Linked DNA regions of Macaca fascicularis. The protein of the gene in region 2 purifies or fractionates together with the protein of the main gene of each other region. This does not show direct contact. Links are inferred from orthologs where the notes say so. Each region holds a gene or a part of one and is shown on either strand. Other genes may lie near its edges.

Region 1 (3,814 bases), on a different chromosome or scaffold from region 2:
TGTTTCTTTTCCCTTCAAATCTGTAAATGGAAGTGATGCCAGGCAGAGCGTGGGGGGCGTCCCACATGAAACATTGGTGACCCCATCAGGGATTCCGGGCAGCCACGCGGTAGCCCAGGCAGGAAAGGGACAACCGTGTTCCCAAAGGCCCGTGCTGCCATCTGTGTTCTCCAGTGTCCGGGTCCCTCCTGTCCCCCTGCCTCATGGAGCTGCCCTGGGTCTCGGAGGGTCTGGGAGGGTCTTGGAGTCCCTGGGAGGGTCTGGAGATTCCTTGGGGGGTCTCGGAGGGTCTCGAAGTGCCTCGGAGGGTCTCAGAGGGCCTGGGAAGGTCGCAGAGGGTCTGGGAGGGTCTCGGGGTCTCGGAGGGACCTTGGAGGGTCTGGGAGGGTCTCGGAGGCCCGGCGCCCAAGGAGGATGGTGGTGGGTGTCTGCAGTCTGTGTCCACTCGAGTTGGTGAACTGAAGCACACACGAGTCTGTCTTTCCCGTGGATTTTTAATTTACTTTTTACAAATAACAAAACGTATAGGATAGAAAACCCCCGGGCGTCAGCCCTCGTTGACCCGTGCACGGTGGGTGGCGTGGAGTGGGCTGTGGCCGCAGGGCCGCAGTGGTGCGAAGCTGAGCACTTGCCTCTGTCTTGCAGGCGTCCGACCTCCAATCATGAACGGGCCCCTGCACCCGCGGCCCCTGGTGGCGCTGCTGGACGGCCGGGACTGCACAGTGGAGATGCCCATCCTGAAGGACGTGGCCACTGTGGCCTTCTGCGACGCGCAGTCCACGCAGGAGATCCACGAGAAGGTACCACCACGTGCTGGCGTGGGGCTGGAAGAACCACACGCTGGAGGGGAGTGGGGAGGGACGGGAGCACAGCAAGCCCAGGCCGAAGCGGGTCTGTGTGCCACTGGGGCAGGAGCGGCCTCTGTCCCAGTCACCCTGCGCCATCTGGAGGTGGACACGGGGTTTCCCCTGCACCCCGTCGGGAGGTGGACACGGGGTTTCCCCTGCGGCCCGTCGGGAGGTGGACACGGGGTTTCCCCTGCGCCCCGTCGGGAGGTGGACACGGGGTTTCTCCTGAGCTCCCTCAGGAGGTGGACACGGGGTTTCCCCTGCACCCTGTCGGGAGGTGGACACGGGGTTTCCCCTGCTTTCCACTGGGAGGTGGACACGGGGTTTCTCCTGAGCCCCGCCGGGAGGTGGACACGGGGTTTCCCCTGAGCCCCGTCGGGAGGTGGACACGGGGTTTCTCCTGAGCCCCGTCGGGAGGTGGACACGGGATTTCTCCTGCTTTCCACTGGGAGGTGGACACGGAGTTTCTCCTGAGCCCCGTCGGGAGGTGGACACGGGGTTTCTCCTGAGCCCCGTCGGGAGGTGGACACGGGGTTTCTCCTGAGCCCCGTCGGGAGGTGGACACGGGGTTTCTCCTGAGCCCCGTCGGAAGGTGGACACGGGGTTTCTCCTGAGCCCCATCGGGAGGTGGACACGGGGTTTCTCCTGCTCTCCACTGGGAGGTGGACATGGGGTTTGCCCTGAGCCCCGTCGGGAGGTGGACACGGGGTTTCCCTGTGGCTTCTTGATTCATTTTCAGTTTTTCCCAGGGAGCAGGTCCTTTTGTGGCGGGGGTGGAGTGAGGTGCTTTCCCCCGCCTCAGATGCGCAGCGGTCTCGGCATTGCCCACGACCCGGCTGTGGTCCAGCAGTGGGCAGCCTTTGGGCAGCTTTCCTGATTCATGTTTGCTCAGGAGCTCCACAGGCTTCTCCGTGATGAGGGCTAGGTCGGTCCGGCTCCTCGTAGCCAGGGATCCGTGATTCAGAGCAGCTTTTTCCTGAAGACAGATGAAGAATCTGGGCCCGCAGGAGCTCACGGGAGAGGGCCAGGCCCAGGCCACAACCCGGAGAGGCCCGGAGCCTGCAGAAACGGGCGAGCCTCGCCAACTCTGGCCTGGGGCGTTGGCTGTTCTGGAAGAAGTGGCTGAGAGACTGAATTTGGCTTTGCTGGGTGCGGGACCCTGCTGGGATATCCATGGCCCAGAAGGTGACACCTGGAGTGAGGGTGACCTGGATTCTGACTCGCCACACGGTTGGCACTCAGCCTACTGACGTCTGAGAAACCTTGAATCTGGATTTTCAGAGACCCCGCACTGCTGACCCCAGGTGCAGAAGGAAATGGGACGGCCCCTTTAGAGGAAGACAGCGTCAGCCCAGGCCTCAGGTCATTTCTAGAAATCCTCGTCTGGCGCGGGGTCCGTCAGACACAAGCAGAGGTAACCAGGCAGTCAAGGAGATGCACAAAACCCACCAGCCAGGGAAGCGGCGCCGGCCCATAGGAGCTCCCTGTGCTGCCCACGGGCCAGTCACCCCAGCACAGCTCCCGGGAGGCCGGGCCAGACACCCGACGAAGAGCTGATGACCCTGAAACGGGGCGTAGCAGTGTCAGGGGAGAACATGAGATGTGAATCTGAGAAATGCTGAAGCTGAACGGGGGAACTGAGGGGCGGGTTTACCAGTGGGCCGGGCAGCAGTGGACAGGAGGGAACGCGGGAGAGGGCGAGATGAGGAAGGGTCTCCCTCACAAACTTCAGAACAAGACGGGGAAGGGGCTGGAAATGATGACGACCGCAAAAGCATTTCCAAAACGGACAGAAGACAACCTGATGTTAAAAATGTGCGTGGTCTGCCGGGAGCTCTGCCGGGGCATTCGCTCTGGGAGATTCTTCACGGTTTCTCATGGGGTTAGATTGTGCTTGTAATGCAGCCCAGCGGCCACGCTCCTTTATCCTGGAGCCTCGGAATGTGCCGCATCCACACGCCCAGCGGCCACACCCCTTTATCCCGGAGACTCGGAACATGTATCCACACGCCCAGCGGCCACACACCTTTATCCCGGAGCCTCGGAACGTACATCCCCACGCCCAGCGGCCACACCCCTTTATCCCGGAGACTCCGAATGTGCCGCATCCCCACGCCCAGCGGCCACACCCCTTTATCCCGGAGCCTCAGAACGTACATCCCCACGCCCAGCGGCCACACGCCTTTATCCCGGAGACTCGGAATGTGCCGCATCCCCACGCCCAGCGGCCACACGCCTTTATCCTGGAGACTCGGAATGTGCTGCATCCCCACGCCCAGCGGCCACACGCCTTTATCCTGGAGACTCAGAATGCGCGTCCACACACAGACCTGCAAGTCATGCTCCCTGGCAGCTTAACTCACCATAACCCAAACCAGAAGACTATCCCCCAGGCTGCCCTTCAGTGAGTGAGTGGCCGGGCGAACACTGGCCACCTCCCTTAGTGTCCTCCTCAGCAACAGGCGTGAACTCTGGGTCCCTACCACACCCTCGGTGATCTCGGCAGCGCGGTGGTGAGTGAAGAAGCTGGTTTCAAGGGGTGCATGCTGTATCATCTGTTCATCCCCAGGTGACGGGGTAAGCGTGACGGAAACAGTTGCCCGGGGTGCAGGTGGGGCATCTGCCGGTGGGCCAGTGTCTGGAATCGGCGTGTGGGTACATCACATGGATGTGTCCACACGCGTGCAAGGGGCTGTGGGTGAACTGCCCGTGGTGCACACCTGAGGGAGTCATGTGGCACCAGCTCGGTTTTGACAATGCCCTTGGTTAGGTACAGTTTTCTCATTGGGAAACTGTTTGTATTAAAGATATACATGTAGGAATGAAAAAGAGGCTCGTCGAAAACTTTCAATATTGTAAGCAACACTGAAACAAGTTTTGCCAACGACCTGGAAAACTAAGGCAAAACAGATGTTTTTCTAGAATTGCAGTAATCCCAAACTGCCTTGCCAGGTTCATATAAAATG
Region 2 (3,814 bases):
GGCCCCTGATTTGCCATTATGTGTCCGCATGTGATTTTTAAGAAACCAAGGCTCCTTGAATCTTCTTCCGCACATGTTACACCCGTAAGTGAAAGAATCTTTGTGTGTCCTCATGTGGATCTCAACATCAAAAGCCACTCTAAATGTCTGCCCGCATACCTCACAGCTAAATTCTTCATTTTCCTTGCAATTCTTTTCCTTGGGAGGTTCTGTTCGTACTTGACTTTTATCAAGCGGACTAAGATACTCTGCTTCAACCCGCAGAACTGCTGGTTCACAAAGGGTAGGCCGGTGTTGCATTAAGACGTGTTTATTAAGGTCTTCCGAATGTGTGAAGGTCTGGCTGCAGAACATGCAATCCAAGGGCATATACCCCTCTATTTGGATGACATTTTTCTCTTGCGTAGCTCGGAATGGAACAACAGCGGTCCCTTTCATTGACATGGCATCCTCCATCTCCATCTGACTGCCAAGAGAGCTGCCAATCACTTCTGGCCCATCCATGTACATCAAGAGGGATTGAGTTGGCATGTTTCCTGTCACTTTCGATTGCATATAATCTCAAAGTTCCCTTGGGGAATTTCTGGAGTTGGAATAAGGCCACTTGTAAGACTTGTCACTCACCCCTCTAACAGCCCTGGGCTTCAAAAACCAGAACAAATATTTATTATAAAAGTTCAAAAGAAAGTGTCTAGTCCTCTAACTTCTTCGGAACTTTTAGGAAGCTCAGTGGTGGTGTCACTGGTTCTTTCCACAAACAAGGCATACAGACTCCCCAATGCTTTGATTCAAATATGAATCAGCACAAAGCATGAGTTCTCTTTGTCTCCATTGAATGAGTGTTTCAATTGAGCAAGAAGTCAATCCCAGCAACCTGGAGACAAGGGATTTCCAAACCCTAGAGGAAAAAAAACAGAAACGGTTAGCTACACTCAGAGCAGAGAGAAGGCTGGTGTGGGTGAGTCAGACGGTCTTTTCCACGCAGCAGAGAAGATACCTAATTCAACTGCCTCACTTTTAACTAATATATACAGCATCCTGTTAAACGTGCTTGTTAATTAAATCACTGGCATTTTATCCAGTCAGTACACTTATTAAATCAGAATTCCATCCAGTTAAAATCCAGTTTAAATCAGTGCTTTACTGACTTAAATCTAAAATGTCAAGTTTTAGGTCAGAAATGGTTAAATTCAGCTGAACACATTTTAAATGTCACTAAGATGCACATGTGGATGCCATCAACAGCCTTCCTAAATCTAAAGACTGTAAGAACTGTGAAAATTAAGATGAAAAAATTTAGTAAACTAAAAAATTTTAAATCCAGTGTACATAAAACAATTTAAAATGTTTTGTATACAAGCAAATCTGCATCCAAGAAATCTAAGTGCCCAAACACACCCTCAGAGATTGCACATACAGAGATCAACAAAATGAGCACAGAAATACAGAAACTTTTCCTAAAATCCCCATTCAAGAAATATGAAACACCTCAGAACAGTCACTCATCTTGGGCAGGGGAACCCTGATATATTTTGGTTCACTGTATATTCCAAACCTCAATCCACTGTTCAAATCCCGGCTTGCTTTCAACAACTTTCTGCCTTCAACAAGCACTGGGTGGGGCTTCCTAGTCCAAACAACAAATAGGGAAAGACATACACAAAGCTCCTTTGTGAATGTATAGATTTAAAATAAAATCCTCAAACAGGGCTGTTTCAACAGGGCTTAGTCTTTCATCAGAAAATGGGTCCTCTCGTTTTTTAATCTACCTTTCACATCATGCACTGGCCAGGTGGAAAATTACTTTATTTAGCTCCGCTGCTTCTGGTTTAGAAGCTAATTTTTCACTCCTGGAGAAGAATTAACTTCTAAAGCCAATACCCTCGGCCTTTATGGCAAACATTGGATAGGCATTGTTTTTAAATAGTCCCAACTACTTAAAACTTAAGTCAGTTAATTCCACCCAAGAAAATCAAAAGGGATGCAAACTACTCCCAGCAAAGTAACCATAAAAAACAAAAACATACTTTATTTTCCTCCCTCTCCCTACTTCCTTAAAGAGTAACGAGGGCCTGTAGGCTCAGAGAAGGCAAGGAAACATCTCCTTTACACTCCGAAATAAATTCTCATATTCCTTGTTATCTTTAGTTTTGAATAAACTAGATCTTTAACATTAAGCTTTTCTAAATAAGACTGCAGATCAAGGATTAGGGTAAAAGAAGGAATGTCCTGAAGTCTTTTCTTTGTTGCAATCACAATGGAGGATCAACACATGGGCTGGTGACCAGCTTGGTGTGATATAATAGAACACACCAGAGACCCGAGTTCTAGTCACAACCTTCAAGCTGTCACTGCCACATACCACCTCCTTCTATTATGTATTTAATGCAGTTGGTTAAACTACAGGATGGCCTTTACAGTTCCAATATTCTGTGATTCTGGGGATAGATCTACACACTGAAAAGAATATTCAATTACTCTGCTAATCAGAATGTGAAGTGATATTTGGACATGAGTCTGACAACTTAGGTTTCTATACATAGAAGTTTAAGTTTCATTTGCTTATTCAACAAGTATTTAGTGAATGCCAGCATCCCAGGCAATATTTTAACTGAATAACAGCACATACCCTAGAAAAACAGTTATCAAACTCTGACAACGTTTTCCCTGGCCAAGAACAAAGACTCATTTATTTGAGGTCATTCCTACTTTTAGATGCTAAAATACGCTTATTTTTCAAAAAATCAAATAGTGGCAATAAGCAATAGTGGAGTTTTTTTTGTTTTGTTTTTTGTTTTAAATGTCCTTATTTAGCAAAATCAAAGTTAGGTGAGAATTTGGGGGAAAAAAAAATCTAAGTCCCTATGTCAGCTCTCAACATTATTACTGTATTTTAGAAACTTGACTAATATGTGAAACTGTAATTTTGGGGAACTCCACTTCTCTACTGACATCTTTTCCAAAAACAGACACCAGCTCTACACTCAGTCTCGGGATTAGAAATAAGATGTGAGGCCGGGCACAATGGCTCACGCCTGTAATCCCAATGCTTTGGGAGGCTGAGGTGGGTGGATCACTTCAGGCCAGGAGTTGGAGACCAGCCTGGCCAACATGGTGAAACCCCTTATCTGCTAAAAATACAAAAATTAGCTGGGCATGGTGATACACACCTGTAATCCCAGCTACTTGGGAATCACTTGAACCCAGGAGGTGGAGGTTACAGTGAGCCAAGATCGCACCACTGCATTCCAGCCTGGACAACAGAGCAACACTTTTGTCTCCCCCCCAAAAAAAAAAAAGAAACACGATGGAGGGTAACTTTATTATTTCCCACTCAGGGAAACAGCATAACTTACTGAAAACATTTACTAATAGAAGAATGTTTTGGTTCCAATTCTCAATTATCTGAAGTTACCATTACTCTCCACCCAAGACCCTGTAGGATTATTTCACTGCAGTGAAGGACAATGAAGGAGGTTCAGTGGGAAACGATCTAAGAAGAGAGGAAGCTTCCACTTTGCCTGGGAGGGTGAACAGCCTGGGAGACCTGGAGATGAGGGCAGGCATTCTAGGCCAAGGGGTCTTCCTGTGTGGTCAGATGGGGAAGGAAACCCTCCTGGCAAAACAGCAGCAACTCTTTCTCCAAGGAAGCTTCTGAGACAGACTCTGATAATCAATTGTGCCTAACTGTCCTAAGCTCCCAGGGTCACAGGAATCCTTAGGCACCCCAAAGGTGCCATCCCTGACTGCCCAGCACACCCTACCCCCAAAGCATTGTGACAGCTCGGGGATGACTTCCTCTGAACTTCTGTCC

The links.
Region 1: the proteins of ZNF217 (region 2) and CTBP1 purify together in Homo sapiens (affinity purification with mass spectrometry; 10 studies listed by BioGRID and IntAct, counting the BioPlex papers as one, with this or other methods). This does not show direct contact. The link is inferred for Macaca fascicularis from reciprocal best matches to the Homo sapiens genes ZNF217 and CTBP1.

What each region holds. Positions count from the first base shown.
Region 1 is NC_088379.1:1,332,415-1,336,228, reverse strand, and holds part of CTBP1 (C-terminal-binding protein 1), read left to right. Parts: intron 1-645; coding exon 646-800; intron 801-3,814. UniProt on the Homo sapiens protein: Corepressor targeting diverse transcription regulators such as GLIS2 or BCL6. Has dehydrogenase activity. Involved in controlling the equilibrium between tubular and stacked structures in the Golgi complex.
Region 2 is NC_088384.1:109,655,197-109,659,010, forward strand, and holds part of ZNF217 (zinc finger protein 217), read right to left. Parts: intron 899-3,814; 5' UTR 556-898; coding exon 1-555.